Linked DNA regions of Mytilus edulis. The protein of the gene in region 2 interacts with the protein of the main gene of each other region in a pairwise test. Links are inferred from orthologs where the notes say so. Each region holds a gene or a part of one and is shown on either strand. Other genes may lie near its edges.

Region 1 (7,442 bases), on a different chromosome or scaffold from region 2:
TGAAAAAAGAGGAAAAGTCTACCAATCCAATTTTGTAGTGAGTCTTGTAAGAAGTCTGCATTTATCATATATGAAGCTCCATAAAAGGGGCCTCCCCTACAATCCGACCTCTGGTGAATGTAGTTACATTTCAATTTTCCTTCACAATACGTGTGTGTGTGTTTGTGTGTCTGTTTATGTTCCTGTAGACGGATAGAACGAGAGTGGAAACGTACAAAAACCTTTACAAATTAGTGCTCTAGATCTGTTTTAGCCTGCTCTGATACTAGTATATTAAAACCTTTGTTGATTTTTAAAGAAAAAATACAATACCACATTGTACCACGCTCCAAGGAAATCATAAAGCATGATATTGGGATACATACATGTAGTGACAATTTAAAAAAAATAAAAAAGATATACAACTTTTTTCGAAAGTCGGTTATCCTGTACAATATGCTCATTCAGAAATACTGAACCAGATATAAAATCCACAGAGCGTGAAATAACCACAAGCTACATATCAATTCCAATAAATAATTAAATATTTATTCCAAAAATAAACATATGTAAGAAATGCCATTTCTTTAGTCTCAAATGAAGCAGAAAACGTCATAAGCACATTCTACACGTAACATGTCTTTGCATATTGAATGTCTTTAAATTCATTAAAATAATCCGGTTTCACGCAAAACGTTTTGTTCTTAAATTTAAAATGTCACCCAAATTAAACGTCTAGAGTTATTTGAAATATTTCCTATAAGTTTATAAACCAAATTGGAATTTTATTTAGTTCTGCTTCTTAAAACTAAGAATAGTTCATAAACAAATGATGGATACAAACTCAGCGAGGACACGAGATTAAATCTCTAATGAAGTTTACACAAAAATTACCACATGTCGTATATGATAACGTCTCTGGTAAAAAAAACATGTCTGCACCAAAAATCCACAATGTAGCGTAACATAGTCAATATGGTCCATAAACTAGTTCTTCCAGATATATGAGGAACAATCCCATCCATTCAACGAGACTTGTCGATCCATCTGCGAAACAAATTATGACACAACAGTGTAAAAAGTTCAAGTAAAACGGTAAATTGCTAAAGTTATATATAAAACAAGTAAAAGGCAAATATATTTATATATACGCGCGGAGTATTGTTAACAGAATAAAAGTTCTAAGCAGTTTAGTTCCATATACTCTGTTTTGCTCTAACATTGAAGGCTTCATTGAGCGGTCGTATAAAATGAAAGTCGTACGCCTTGCAGTAAGGACACGCAATCATCCGACTGTATTGACTATAAAATGTCAGACCAGTGTTGACGTCTACAACTGCTCGACGACACTGCTTGCATGTTAGCCGCTTCTGACAGCATGGCGTAGCAGCAAATATATCGTAAGTATACATAGTTCCAAGTTGAAGTGCGCTCCCGTCCCATGGGCATTTGCATGATGCACACCGAATATCTGATCCCTTTTCAAGGCACTGTACGCAGACGGCGTTGATAAACTGCAGACGACCATCGGAGATGACTTGTACTACTCCATCGCCGTAAGCCTGAGGTGACAAGAAGAATGTTCCGTCAATCATAGGGTACCTATCAAAAACGGGTAAGCCGCTCTTACATATAACACAGCTCAGCGAGCAAACCTTGTACGATGTCAAGTGAGAAAGTATAAAGTTCCTGGTATCATCCGTACCATCGTCGTCCATCTTGATATGGTATGGATTCTGTTTATGCCTTGGTAGAAAGGTGAAGGCAGACAGATCTTGGCGGCGCCGAAAGGAAGTGTTTGCGTTAAACGAGTGGACATCTACGGTTTTCGGGCTTTTTGGGAAAGCCGGTTGGTTCAGGTTTCCATTAACAATAGGGGATGACGGCGTCGGTGATGACGAGGATCCAATAGAACCAGAAGAACGCGGTAGACTTCCACTGCTACTGACGCTGTCAGTGCGCGAGCGCTGTGTAGAAAAAATATGGTTCGTGTTGCTGACATGATTGTTGTAAGACGTGTTGTTATTGTTGTTGTTTACATTTGTTGTGTTGATAGGTGCACTGTGAATGTGGTTGTTGTTATGGGGTATGGAGGTAGAAGCATGTCCCCCTTTCCCGTTACTCACCACAGGAGCCGGTTTATCGTTCTTCTTCTTCGGTTTCTTTTTGTTTTTGTTGTCGACAACAGCAACTTGTGGTTTTGGGAAATAATCCAGATCCTTCCGTATATGTCCCCTGCCACATTTGCAATCACAAGCCTTGAAAGCTAGGTCGTAGCCTTTCTTTGTCCACAAATTTTGCAAGCGTTGTTTTTCGCTCCAGCTTCTAGCGCGTCCACACGAGCGTAGATAGGACAAAACCGTCTCCTCCCATTCCTCGAAACAATCCTTGTGCATCCACTTACTGAAGTCGCATGCTTCATTATTGCAGAACACTTTCACAGACTTTTCAGGCTCCTTTGGATTAATCAAATCCTCGGGTGAAGTGCATGTTAGAGGCACACAACACTTGACAAGTTTGGGACCAGCTCTGTTGTCATTTACTTCAACAACAGGCGCCCTCGTTTCTGCGGCGGCTTGTACATTGTTATTTTCCACATCTTTTTTAACAACGTTGTGCAGTTGCACCTTTTGGTGCTTCCGGTGCGGCATGTTTCTATAAATCCACACAATTCAAATGTTCAATCACTAAATATTGTCACAGTATAATCTGTATTTACCGGTTAGTTTTAAACGTGCTAAAAGTAATGCCGGCTTTTACATCCAGTTTATTATTGTTGACAATAACGTAGAACTGCCTACTTTCGTTTAGAACAATAGTTATGATTGGTTAGAAATGCGGTCAGGAATTATGATTGGTTGAATGAATAATCTATGACCTTAGACGCAAGATTGATTATTTTGTTAGAAGTACAAGCATTAATGGTGTATTTTTATTTCTACGCGTTTGTCATAAATAGGTCGAGGACGTTTGTAATCTTAGTCGGTATTTTTCAATAACAATTTTATATTTAAACATCTTTTCTATCAATAGTAACGTAAAGTGTATAATTTTAATTTAGAATGAATCTGGGTTAGGCCTTGCTTTGAGAAATAAATGCAATTGGGGAAAAACATACAATAGAAAGTAAATCGATTGTGCAGGGAGGCATGTAACTTTAAAAAAAAATTTATTTGTAAACAGCTTGCTGGGGTTACGCACTACTAACAAAGGCTTCTTTATATTTTATTGATAAACATCAAACTAGTGAATAAGGAGAGACCTATTTTATTTTAAAATAACTGATGATAAACGTACTTTATTAAAACGCATATTTTCTCGACATTTTTTTTACGATACTATGATCATATATGCGTATAAAATAGTAAAAAGCTATATGCTTTTGCTTAACAAAAAATATTTTACACACTGCAAATCATATCTGAATGACTCAACTACATTAAAAAGGACACAACAATTGTATAGAGTGACTGATAAACAATATCAAAACACAAAAATGCATACTGAGATTTACAAGTGCAAACTCGGGCGAAATATAACAACTGATATTTTGCCAAAATTCTTAATTATGCCATCTAAACAAAACACACGAAACATCATGAATATTTAAAGTGCAGACGCATGCAGCTGTTATTGAAAATCGATTAAAAATTATTATGTAACACCGAGATTGATGTCACCCAGGAACTCTGAAATTAAAAGACAATTTGTTAGAGGTGGGAGGTGTCAAATTATAGAGAATAATCGTCGGTAAAATATTCACGGATCGAGGCGCTATATGGTATTAAGTCGAATATGATACGAGTCAATCGAATTCTACTGTAGCACATACAAAAAGGGGTATATCATATATTATGCGTTCACCCTCCTTGATTGGAAAATGCACCATTTTTAAGCATTAAATGAAAATCGTAACCCCCCCTCCCCCCAAAAAAAATCCAAACGATAAAAACAACCAAAATTAAAAACATACTAGCGCTGAGGGCCGAGTGGAATTCGTCAATATTGCCCCCATTACAGCGGCGGATCCTGCCATTTTAAAAAGGGGGGGGGTCCTAACCCAGGACAAAAGGGGGGGGGGTTCCAACTACACCTCCCCATTCAAATGCATTGATCGTCCAAAAAAAGGGGGGTGTCCAACCCCCGGAACCCCCCCCCCCCCTCTGGATCCGCGCTGTATTAAGGTTAAGAGGGAGTTAATTACCATAATAAATAAACGTCCCCTCATTACACCTACTTACTAAAGTGATCAAAACATCTCGAGAGAAAGTTAGTGTAACAAAGTCTGGTTGTTTCTTTATTTTGATTTCTTTATTTTCTTATTGAAATTGAATGCGGCCTTGACATCGAAAAAGAACCGAATAACTACTGTCAACCCTAGATCATTTAAAGACAAAACAAATACAAAAAGGCATTGTCTTTTTTTGCGGTAAACAGTTAAACATTTCCGTTCTAAACTTGTTTACAATACATAAAAATCGGTATAAATGAGTCATTCGAAATAGTCTAATCAATGAAACAACGGAATAAATGTATTTTCTATGTTGACTAAACATGGTAAATGGTCTGTTCTAAAATTATCCCTGTGTATTGATTTCTTTTTATTCAAAATGAAAAGAAATGTTAAACTTGATGGCGTCGTTACGGGATACAAGACTCTTAGCGCTTACTTCATTAATTGAACCCATATATAACTCAAGCAGAATAAAGATAAAATAAGATGTGTTTTATGAATTCCCAATAAATGAAATTTCCTGTGCCTTGATTCTGATTAAAAGTATAGCGTGACCCAGTCACATAACTGACCGAAGACATAGATATTTCCGACATTATTAACAATATTGGATTTGTTTTTTACATTGATCTTTTCAGACGGTTAATTATTTATTTTTGTAATAAAGATCGTTTATTTTGGTATCAAAGTACATAAAGAGAATCAGGTATTGAGATTGTTACTTAGGTTCAAATAATATAAACCCATTAAAACAAGAAAAGTCCATTCTTAAAAACATTAGAATAAAAGACAGCTGTGTTAAAATATATTTTATATTCCTTTATTCCTGTTTTGGAAGAGGACCTGCAGATACGGGTGCGCTAGTAAGAAATTTGAAAAGGAGTTTTGATCGAGTAAAAAAACCAGGCAGGATGAGGCACTTTGCCAAAAAAAAAGGCAGGATGTCATTTTTATGTAGAAGTCAGGATGAACTAATAACAAAAGGCAGGACTGGGTAGAGTGAAAAATGAAAAGGCAGGACAGAGATTACAACAATCTAATTAAAATATTGATCTCTGATTACGTTATACTACATATAAGTCATAAGTAGTATAACGTAAAACACATATGTAGTATAACGTAATCAGAGATCAATATTTTAAGTGCCTGTCTCAGATAAATCCATGCAAAGTGATCCAGAAGCAAGGTTACAAGATCATCTTAACATTCTGTTACAAGGAAGGTCTTATCATATAATAATTTTAGAAAAAAAAAAAATCCAAAAATTTTCAAGGATTTACCTTATAAAGGGCTGTTTCTAAAAATAGAATTTCTATCAAGATTAAAGGTTAAAAACATGCAATTTTTGATAAAATAGACATTAAAAATACCTTTAATGAATATTTTGTAGGCATTTTAGTATGGCTTTATCATAAATATGAACCAATATAAAACTAATGATTATACTTATGTTGACCTCTCAAATTTCCTTTTAAGTGCAGCAAGGTCACCAAAAGGTCAAATTTCAAATTGCATGGTTTAGACTGAGACAAACACTTAATTAGATTGAGATTACAACTAAAAAACCACCCAGGACATTTGTTTTATCCTAGCCAGCCCCCTTTTTCTCCCATACAAATCAAATGGTATCTACCTAAGTAAAAACAAAGTTTGAAAAACAAAATCACAACGCATGTACTCTGCAGTGGCGGATCCATAAATTTTCATAAGTGGGGGCCCACTGACTGACCTAAGAGGGGGCCCGCTCCAGTCACGCTTCAATGATTCCCTATTTAAGCAACCAAATTTTTTCCCAAAAAGGGGGGGCCTTGGCCCCCTGCCCCCCCCCCTAAATCCGCCTCTGCTCTGAAAGGATAAACATCTTCTACTCTACTAGAGTATACAGTCTGTCGTGTGATGTTGCTCATGACAGCTAAAAATCTGGCATACGGTGGTATTCTGCAATGTCATAAAGGAGGGAAGGATCATGGACTGGGGTTACAGCAAAAGAGAAGAGGGGTGAAATGCGGGTGCTTCTCTCCAAAATCCCATCATAGTTTTTTTGTTATGTTTTATCACTTCCCACTACCACTATCCAGTACCCACTTTTAAGGCTCGACATCCCACATTCCCATTTTTCGTCCTCTGTATCACACATCCACACTTATTTATCCTTATAATGTATGATCTAACATCATACAAGTGTGATTGCAAAAACTTAAAGTTGTAAAGCAAGCCCTTGAATATCGTACCAACTGGGAAATCTACACCATAAGAATGTGACTTAAATTGAAAGTATCAGAGTAATCACTTTCGAGGCGTAGCCGAGTTATTTTTGCGTAAAAACGGTAATTGAGGCTGAAAGTATCGAGTTCAGTTGAGCATGTCGAACAATCAGATTAACCTTTTGTCATCAATCAATCATCAATTAATACATTTATTAAAATAGCTGATGCATGAAAAGTCGGTCGAATAACAAAATCATAATTAATATATTAGACAGGAGAACATAAATAACATTACGTTTTTCTGTCTTTTTTTATGCATGATTATGTTGTTTATTCTATAAATTTCCTCCTAATGTCAGTAATATAACATGGCATAATGTATAATTTAACATCAAGGTTGTACAATTATCTTCATTATTTATTAGTGCAATTTACCTATAACGATGTATTTTATGTATACATATGTTTGTGAACGAAAGACGATAACAACTTTGCACATTATTTATAACATAGACTATTAAACGAAATCAGACAGTGTAAAAGTGTCAAGGAGAAAACCGGTTGAAACAACTTTCGCTTTCACTTTTTTACCTATAAAATTTTAAAATGTTTAAAATATTCATAAGCATATATGGAAATCTTATTTTTCTTTCCTGGATATCAGATGTTGATGTTAGTGTTACATAAACATAAAAAAACGCAATGAATTGTGATTGTATATATCACAACTGACTTATAATTTTATTTTTCAATTACATCCATATCAAAACAAAAATATAAGGAATATAACATAGTGCAGAGAATTACAGTAAAGAACTATTTAACCAATTCCCAATTTCCCGACATGTACATTAAGTAAGCCTGAAAGCCTCATACATTTACCATAGCGGGTTTTTTAAAACGTTAAATGCTTAATACCCAGTGGCAAATATTGTGTGCATTTTTTAACAAAATTTGTTGATGTATGATCAAAATGTAGATACACTCATCAAAAATACCAGGATTGATATATTGTATAAATT
Region 2 (7,928 bases):
TTGAATGTTTTTTTTGTTTTTTATATATACAATGATTTTTGGTATGTTATGTTGATAAAGCGCAAATTCATAATCTTCAAGATCTTTCAAAGCGATTTGTGTTTAAACCGGCCGACATAGCAGCCAATAATGTGGTGGCGATGTGCCGTAAATAATACACAGACATTGTTCTATTAAGAGTGAAATTCCAAATTCATCTACATTTAAGTCCGTGCGCTCCACCGACAGTTATACAGAAAACAAACATGTCGTAACCACATCACAGCTATAGACTTCTTTCGAACATTTGAAGGTCCCTTCTATGTATTGGTTACCTTAACTACACAGACAAAACAAACCCGTCAAATATCGGTTCATCTCGGCCTCTTGTAAGTGTTCTACAACTAATCTGTCAGTGCTTTTAACTATAGTTCATTAACTACTATCAAAGAACTTATCATAAACTTTTGTAATAAAATATATGAACATAGTAGAATTAACTATTTCGAAGTGTAAAAAGTCTTTGGATGATTTCGATAGATTACGTGCTTTTGGTGGTCCTTTTGATTCTGTTGACAGTTTTACCTTTTCAACTCATTACACTACACTTTCAAACAATTTTAACAAACAAAAGTGTTCCTATTTAATTAAATGGTAGTTTGGTAAATCTGAATGCAAATATATTGACTGCAACTTATTAAAAGCCTTATTCTCTAATGAGAAAGGTAAATATGCTAGTTTACTTATTGGAGATGTGATGAGATGATCGAAGCTGTTAATTTTCTCCTTGATACTATTTTTTTACGTTTAGGCAAAACAGTTTGTCGACAGGTTGTATGTATTCCTATGGGCAACAGTTGCACCCCTTTAATAGCAGACTATTTTTTTGTATCATACGTGAAGGTATTTCACATCCAATCTCTTATGGTAATACTCTTTACAAAGCACAAAACTGTCGGCATTCACCCCAAAAGCTTACAAAACCTTTCAACAGACTTATTACGAAGGGATATAGTTACGATACTGTTGTAAGGACATTGAAGATGGCGTATTTTGGTATTAATATTGATTCACTCATAGAGTCTTTGCATCGGATATAAACATATGTATTCGTAAACCAGTTGTTGGCATGCTACGGGTTATTTTCTTCTCATATATTTTATGATGGTATGATACTAACCCCTATCGGGGGAGATTGTGCTTGGTTTTCTTATGATGAAAACATAATCTTTTAATCAGGTTAACTGAGGTCTAGAGCTAGCATGTCAGTAACTGCTAGTAGTCCTTTGTTAATCTATGTATTATTGTCATTTTGCCTAGTTTCTTTTGTTACCTATTCTGACATCGGACTCGGATTTCTTTTAAACCGAGTTTTGCTGTGCATATTGCTGTGTGTTTTTTGTTTTTCTACAGTGGCTAGAGGTATAGGGGAGGATTGAGATCTTCCATGACTTTTTGTTTATCTAGATGTTTTGGAGTTTAGTACATGGCGTCCATTATCACTGAAATAGTATACATTTTCATTTAGGGGCCAGCTGAAGCCCACCTTCGGTTGGGGAATTTTCTCGATGTGCTGAACAGAGGCAGATTTAGGGGGGGGGCAGGGGGCCCGGGCCCCCTCTTTTTTGGAAAAAAATTTGGTTGCTTATATAGGGAATCACTGAAGCGTGACTGGAGCGGGCCCCCTCTTAGGTCAGTCAGTGGGCCCCCACTTATGAAAATTTCTGGATCCGCCACTGCTGAAAACCCATTGGTGACCTTCATTTTTTTGGCTCTTTTGTCGTGTTGTTGTCTTTTAGGCACATCCCTCGTTTCAAATCTCGATTTTATCTTAACCTATGGTTATGAAATCAAACAGAACCAGACAAATCCCAGTGCACGAATTCGCTATTCATATCTCTTCTTATGTTCCTATCAGATGGCCATCGGTAGTTTTCAGATATCACATCGATTAGATGGCGTCTTGACTAAAATGTACACCAAAATGTTAATACATATTAACGAGCCCATGCATTATAAAATGTTTATTTTAGACTCTTTTTTCAAATTTACATTTACGTTATAGAATGTTGTTTATCAAATACGATAATTAGTCAGATCGGTGAACATATATTTGACCTTTAACCAATTCGTGGAGGTGACCGTAATCATTTGAAGTGATTTGAGTCATTCTTTCTCATAACCATATTAGTTGATTTTCAGGGCTAAAACAGATTGTTAATTATCCCTGAGACTACTATAACATATGTGTTATAGTAGTCTCAGATTATCCTTATATTATTCGTCATTCTGCAACAGTTATACGGACTTTTCTAACGCCTTCACATTTTGAGCTTATTTTAGTATAAGAGTCTACCATTCTGAGTTACAGATCGAGTTTACGTTTGGTTCTAGCTGATTTTAGGACATTGAAAATGTCATACAAATAACAGTTACACTGAATTTCCAATCCTCAAATGACTTTTTTGCGAGCGGGGCAATTCGTGTCGTTCCGACCCATACAGTTTAATGATTACAAGCAGAGCAGCGATATAAAATGAGGAGATGATGTATGATTGCCAGTGAGACAGCTTTCCACTAGAGACCAAATGACGTAGACGTAGAAGTTTAAAACATCTATAGGTCATCATACGGCCTTCAACAACAAAACAAAACCCATACCCCATAGTAAACTTTAAAAGGTCCTGAAATGACATAAAGCAATACAACTAAACAAATAACGAACTGATTTATTTACAAAACAATAAACGAAAGACAAATATGATATACAGCAACAAAGTAAAACCACTGAATTACAGGCTCCTCACTTGGGACAGGCAAAATAATAGTGACCAGGGACGTGAATTACCGACCCTTAAAGGAGAGGCAGTTGAGTATCAAAAGTTTTGGACCAATTTTATGCAGAAAAAAACTGAAAACTTCTAACACAAGCACAAAATAATGGTGACCGGATGCGGACATTTCCTCTTTTCGTGTTTTCACGTTTTCTCCTTTTAATTTGCAAACGTGAAATCGGAAAAAGAGAAATCGAAAAAGCGAGAAAGCGAAAACGCGAAATCGAGAAACAAAAGAATGCACTCCTATGGGTACCAATTGCGCTTCTTTAACAGCAATTTTTTTCCGTTACTGTAATGATCGAATCACAGTTAAAACCCAAAATTCAGTAAAGAACCACCAAAATTCAATTTATCTTCAAAATCAACAGTACTTAAAATATAAACAGCAATACATGTCGATCCTTTCCTAGATTTAGGTATATTAGTTCTACTCTTGGAACTCCTCAGCCGTAAATTACACAGAGGCATGAAGGCAGTTGCCTCCTGTTGCAGGTTCACACAAAAAAATACAGAAAAGAAAAATCATCGGGTTAAAATCATGCATTATTTTAATAGCACTAGTTACTATCTTAACCAACAAGGTGATTCAAAGCAATCAAACACACGCAGTTCTACCCAAATAGAAAACAAATACTGCTGACAAAGAATGACCGTATACAGATTTAATTATTGAAGCTTATTACACAGATTTTGATACAGATTCCAAAAAGGAGGGCACTTCAGTTGTAGAAAGTTTCCAATGTTGAACAATAGACAGATGAAGACGTATTCGCCCGTTTGCCAAAGAAGTTTCAAGACTTAAAATGATATATCATGTATATGTTACATAGAGAATAATACATGATGGCAAAATCCGTATCATATGTCGTATCATCCCGAGACATCACTATCAGCCCAAGGGCCTTTAGGCCCGAGGGATGATATTGGTCGAGGGTGATACGGCATGTGATACGGATTTTGCCATGTATTATACGCTTTATCATATATTTCAACAGAAGAGTATTATATTATATGAACTGTTTTCTGATCCATAGCACTGGGTTAATACCTTCAGTTCTACTTTTGTCTCGTTTCAAAGGCCTTAAAAGAACTGCTCAATTACTTATCCGAAGCACCTGGGTTACCTTACAATTTGCGTGCTGTTGTTTAAAAAAAATTTGTTTATTATTGTATTAATTTGTGTGTTTTGTATTTTCCATAGTTGCATTTAGTGTGCCAAAAAATATGAAAACTTGACGTTCGTGACGTCACATACAATATGAAAACTCGACGTTACAGACTTTATGTAAAAAAAAAAAAAAAAAAAAAGTAGGGGTGTGATAAAGGGTATGCGATAAAGGGTGTGCATCAAAGTTGCGCGATATGGATTACACAGCAGGCTATTTATCACATATGCAAAACTACTGTATTTACTACTAAACATATGATAAACTGATATATATATTGATTAAAATATTAAATATTTTGAAAGATATTGGCAAACTGATGTCTATAGTCATATGGTACAATATCAAGTTACTAGACTTGTAAACTGTGTGACCTGGTAGGCTTCAACAATAGTAAAACCACACGCCAGTATTATTTGAATGATGTGTTTGTCTCGCACATTGGTTTGGAAGGACAGTATATTATATACTGTACGCGTAAAGTAACATGGGACACTAACTTTTTTGTTGCAAATTAGAATGGGACACACTTTCTTCACGTGTATAACCATGGTACTTTATTTTTTAATATTTCATTTCAGTTTTTGCAGTTGTTCCATGCCCGATATTTTTTACTAGTCCATATGCTAAGGATTTGACAGTCAGCATTTTTTAATTTGAATGAATTACATATACTTCTATACAAATCATGGAAGGCTTCCACAGGATCAAACTAAGTATAAACAAAGTAATGGGTAAATAGTGCGTTCAGTATTTAAATATGCGTTTAAAGATATTGCAAGTTCATCTTTTTTAACTCATTTAGGCTTGATTCCGTTAAGCACGTTTGTTTATTTACTTTCTCAGTTTGACAGGTGCGCGCATAAAAACAATAACTTTTAGCACGTGTCTTGAATCATCCAATCGAAAAAGCCTTAAATTTGCGAATCTGCGTCAGAATGAATGCGCATTAAAACATTATTGACAACAAAAATGCCGTCTGAAAGCCCGGTGGTTGCTGCTCAAACTGAGAAACCACAGCATTATTTGTGAGTAAATGATTCATATCTCAATACTGACAGCTAGTGTGTCTTTCTGTTTATCTGTAAATGGTTAAAATGTCTTCGATATATTGCAGGTATTTGAAGGAATTTCGAACACAGCAATGTCCTCTTTTTCTGCAACACAAATGCACTCAACACCGACCCTTTACTTGTTTCCATTGGCATTTTCTAAATCAACGAAGACGAAGACCTGTTCGAAAACGCGATGGAACGTTCAATTACAGTCCTGATGTCTACTGTACAAAATATGACGAGACAAATGGAGCCTGTCCAGATGGTGACGAGTAAGTAAATATAGAGAACTGTCAAATATCGAAATGTTTAAATTTTGGTGGGAAACCCAGGGGGAAATTCTCAACCTGCTTTTACTTTCTTAAGTTAAGAATCAAAACATGACAGCTGTATAAGTTGATCCATTCTTCGAAACCGGTAAATTTTATAGCAAGTGCACGAAATTGCAAACCGCTTATTCAGCATTAAAATGTTTTAATTATGGCATAACATGTTGTAAACAAATATGGCGGACGTCTATTTACATCTCCGTCATTGTTTGTAAACTAACCCATAATCTATTGAATGAACAATTAATTGACTTTAGTAGGGTATGGTATTAGTCTGACCTTTTAAGAATGTTATTAATGCAAAATTTGTGTATGAGATTCCCCTTTAAATTGAATGAACTTTAGTGAGAATTAGAATATCAGATTGCATCCTTTGTTAAAATAGCAGATCTTTATTTTTAATGAATGAAAAGTTTCAGATTGATTTTGCAAGAGCTGAATTTGTATTTACAAATATATATGATTCAAGAAATAAGTTGTCATGATTAAAAGAATGTGATTGACTTAGTTTTGATATAACACAATAAATTACTGAATCAGCTGGTTACAAAAGACATGCGTAGATGTTATTTGGAAGAATTTTTCTTGGCCTTGACCCAGATTTTATTTATAGAAAGTGTTTACAAGTTCAGAATCAATATAAAGGAAATGGTGATCATTGTAATCAGGTCTTTCTGTTGATGAGGATTATGTTTAATTAGTGTAAACTAAAAAAGAATGCATTTGGAAGAGGGAATATAATCGTGAGATTTTTGCTTGCAAATTGCCTACAGGGACATTATGACAGATAGGTAATTATCAATAACTGATCTTAAATTACACATGCTTCTTTTGCATAGTTCTTTGCAATATTTTAAAAGGTTAGTCATATGTGTGCATTATATATTTTGGTTGCATTTAATTTATGTTTATACATATTTATACTCAGTCATACAGAGCATGCACAACTGTCTATTTGGGCAATGTGCCTGTAGAATAGAAACTTTTGTCTAGTTGAAATTTGGTTAACTTCAAACACGACTATTAATTAATTTATTTTAATTAATATATGTTTATATTATATTTTACAGTTGCCCATACTTACACAGAACTGCAGGAGATACAGAAAGACGTTATCATCTTCGGTATTACAAGACTGGTACATGTGTTTATGAGACAGATAGCAAAGGAAATTGTGTTAAGAATGGCCCTCATTGTGCCTTTGCACATGGTGCCCATGATTTGAGGCCACCCATTTATGATGTTCGAGAATTACAAGCTATTGATACCATAAATATTAGTTGTGATAAGAGTTCCAATGCTAGTTCTATATCAGGAACACCAAGTAGTTTAGAAAAGGATAAAATTTTAGCTGAAGATCCTAGATGGAATGGTAAGTTATAATGAAACAATTTTTGTTGCCTGCCATGCATGAAAATGGCACATGGGTTTTACCATACACCAACTGTGAAGCTGTAAACTGTTTATTAAAAGCTTTATATTTCAGGAGGTTGAACTGGATGTTTCATACCTTATGTGCACCTTTTGATTCAAAGTTTCTGTCTGCAATATGTCCATTGTCCTTGGCTCCAATTTCACATTTTAATGCATGAAGTTTTACCCTTGTCTAGTGATCTGTAAATAAGTACAAAATTTGGGTAAAGTCACTTTCACGGTTCTTGAGTTATATCCCTATATAACATTATATGCAGCATAGGGGGCATCATTTGTGTTCAATGAACACATTTTCCCATTTATTTTGTAAGTAAAAGGTTGCTTATCAATGCTTATTAAGAGAAATTATATAACTAGATTTAGAATATACATGTAGGTTCCTTGCAAGGTTGACATGTCTATCATGAAAAGGTTGACCTAACCTCAACCTTATTCCATGGATCACTCAGTGATCAAGGCTAAAAGTAAAGTGGACAAGTCCATATCTCAGATACATGTACAAGAATCTATATGTCAACTATATTAATTTGGTGACCAGAAAATTTGTAATGTGTACATGTATGTTCATGTCCGACTGACAGGTTTCATCCGACTTTACCTCAATTCGTGGTACATTGGACAATATTCAGAAAAGGATAAATTTTGTTTATAATCCTGATTTTAATTAGTAACATAAATGTGCATTCAATCATTATGTCATCAAGTTTATGCAGTAAGAGCATGTTCACTTCAACCTCACTGTTTGTTAAATCTAATGTAAGTGCATGTAGAACTGCATTCATGCATGCAGAGAGGAATTATCCTTGTCTAGCATATCATAACCTATAAAAAATTTAATCAGCCTTAAGCCACTAAGTAAAGAATATCTTTTTATGGAATACAAAACAATGACAGATTAAAGAAGGAAGATTAATTTGGATTTCTTAAAATGCAAAATTTTTATTCCATTCATAACTTGTACATAGTTAGTGTAAGTACTTGTACTGCTTTTTATGTAGCTACAGGTGAATACAAACTGTGTTTTCATGCAATTTGAATGATCTGAGCTGGGTTGACATAAATATTGTTTCAACATTAACTGCATTATCAATTCAGAATTTCAGATCAGTCAGGCCTTAGTTGTTAAGT

The links. The genes of interacting proteins can lie anywhere in the genome.
Region 1: the proteins of putative E3 ubiquitin-protein ligase UNKL (region 2) and headcase protein-like interact in binary tests that used the Drosophila melanogaster proteins (3 or more experiments, as listed by UniProt). The link is inferred for Mytilus edulis from reciprocal best matches to the Drosophila melanogaster genes unk and heca.

The regions. Positions count from the first base shown.
Region 1 is NC_092353.1:78,627,189-78,634,630, reverse strand, and holds headcase protein-like, read right to left. Parts: upstream 2,838-7,442; 5' UTR 2,631-2,837; coding exon 1,170-2,630; 3' UTR 515-1,169; downstream 1-514. UniProt on the Drosophila melanogaster protein: Required for imaginal cell differentiation, may be involved in hormonal responsiveness during metamorphosis. Involved in an inhibitory signaling mechanism to determine the number of cells that will form unicellular sprouts in the trachea.
Region 2 is NC_092352.1:14,752,359-14,760,286, reverse strand, and holds the start of putative E3 ubiquitin-protein ligase UNKL, read left to right. Parts: upstream 1-4,891; 5' UTR 4,892-4,924; coding exon 4,925-5,010; intron 5,011-5,099; coding exon 5,100-5,309; intron 5,310-5,522; exon of another isoform or gene 5,523-6,146; coding exon of another isoform or gene 6,147-6,157; intron 6,158-6,436; coding exon 6,437-6,738; intron 6,739-7,928. UniProt on the Drosophila melanogaster protein: Essential for late larval/early pupal development.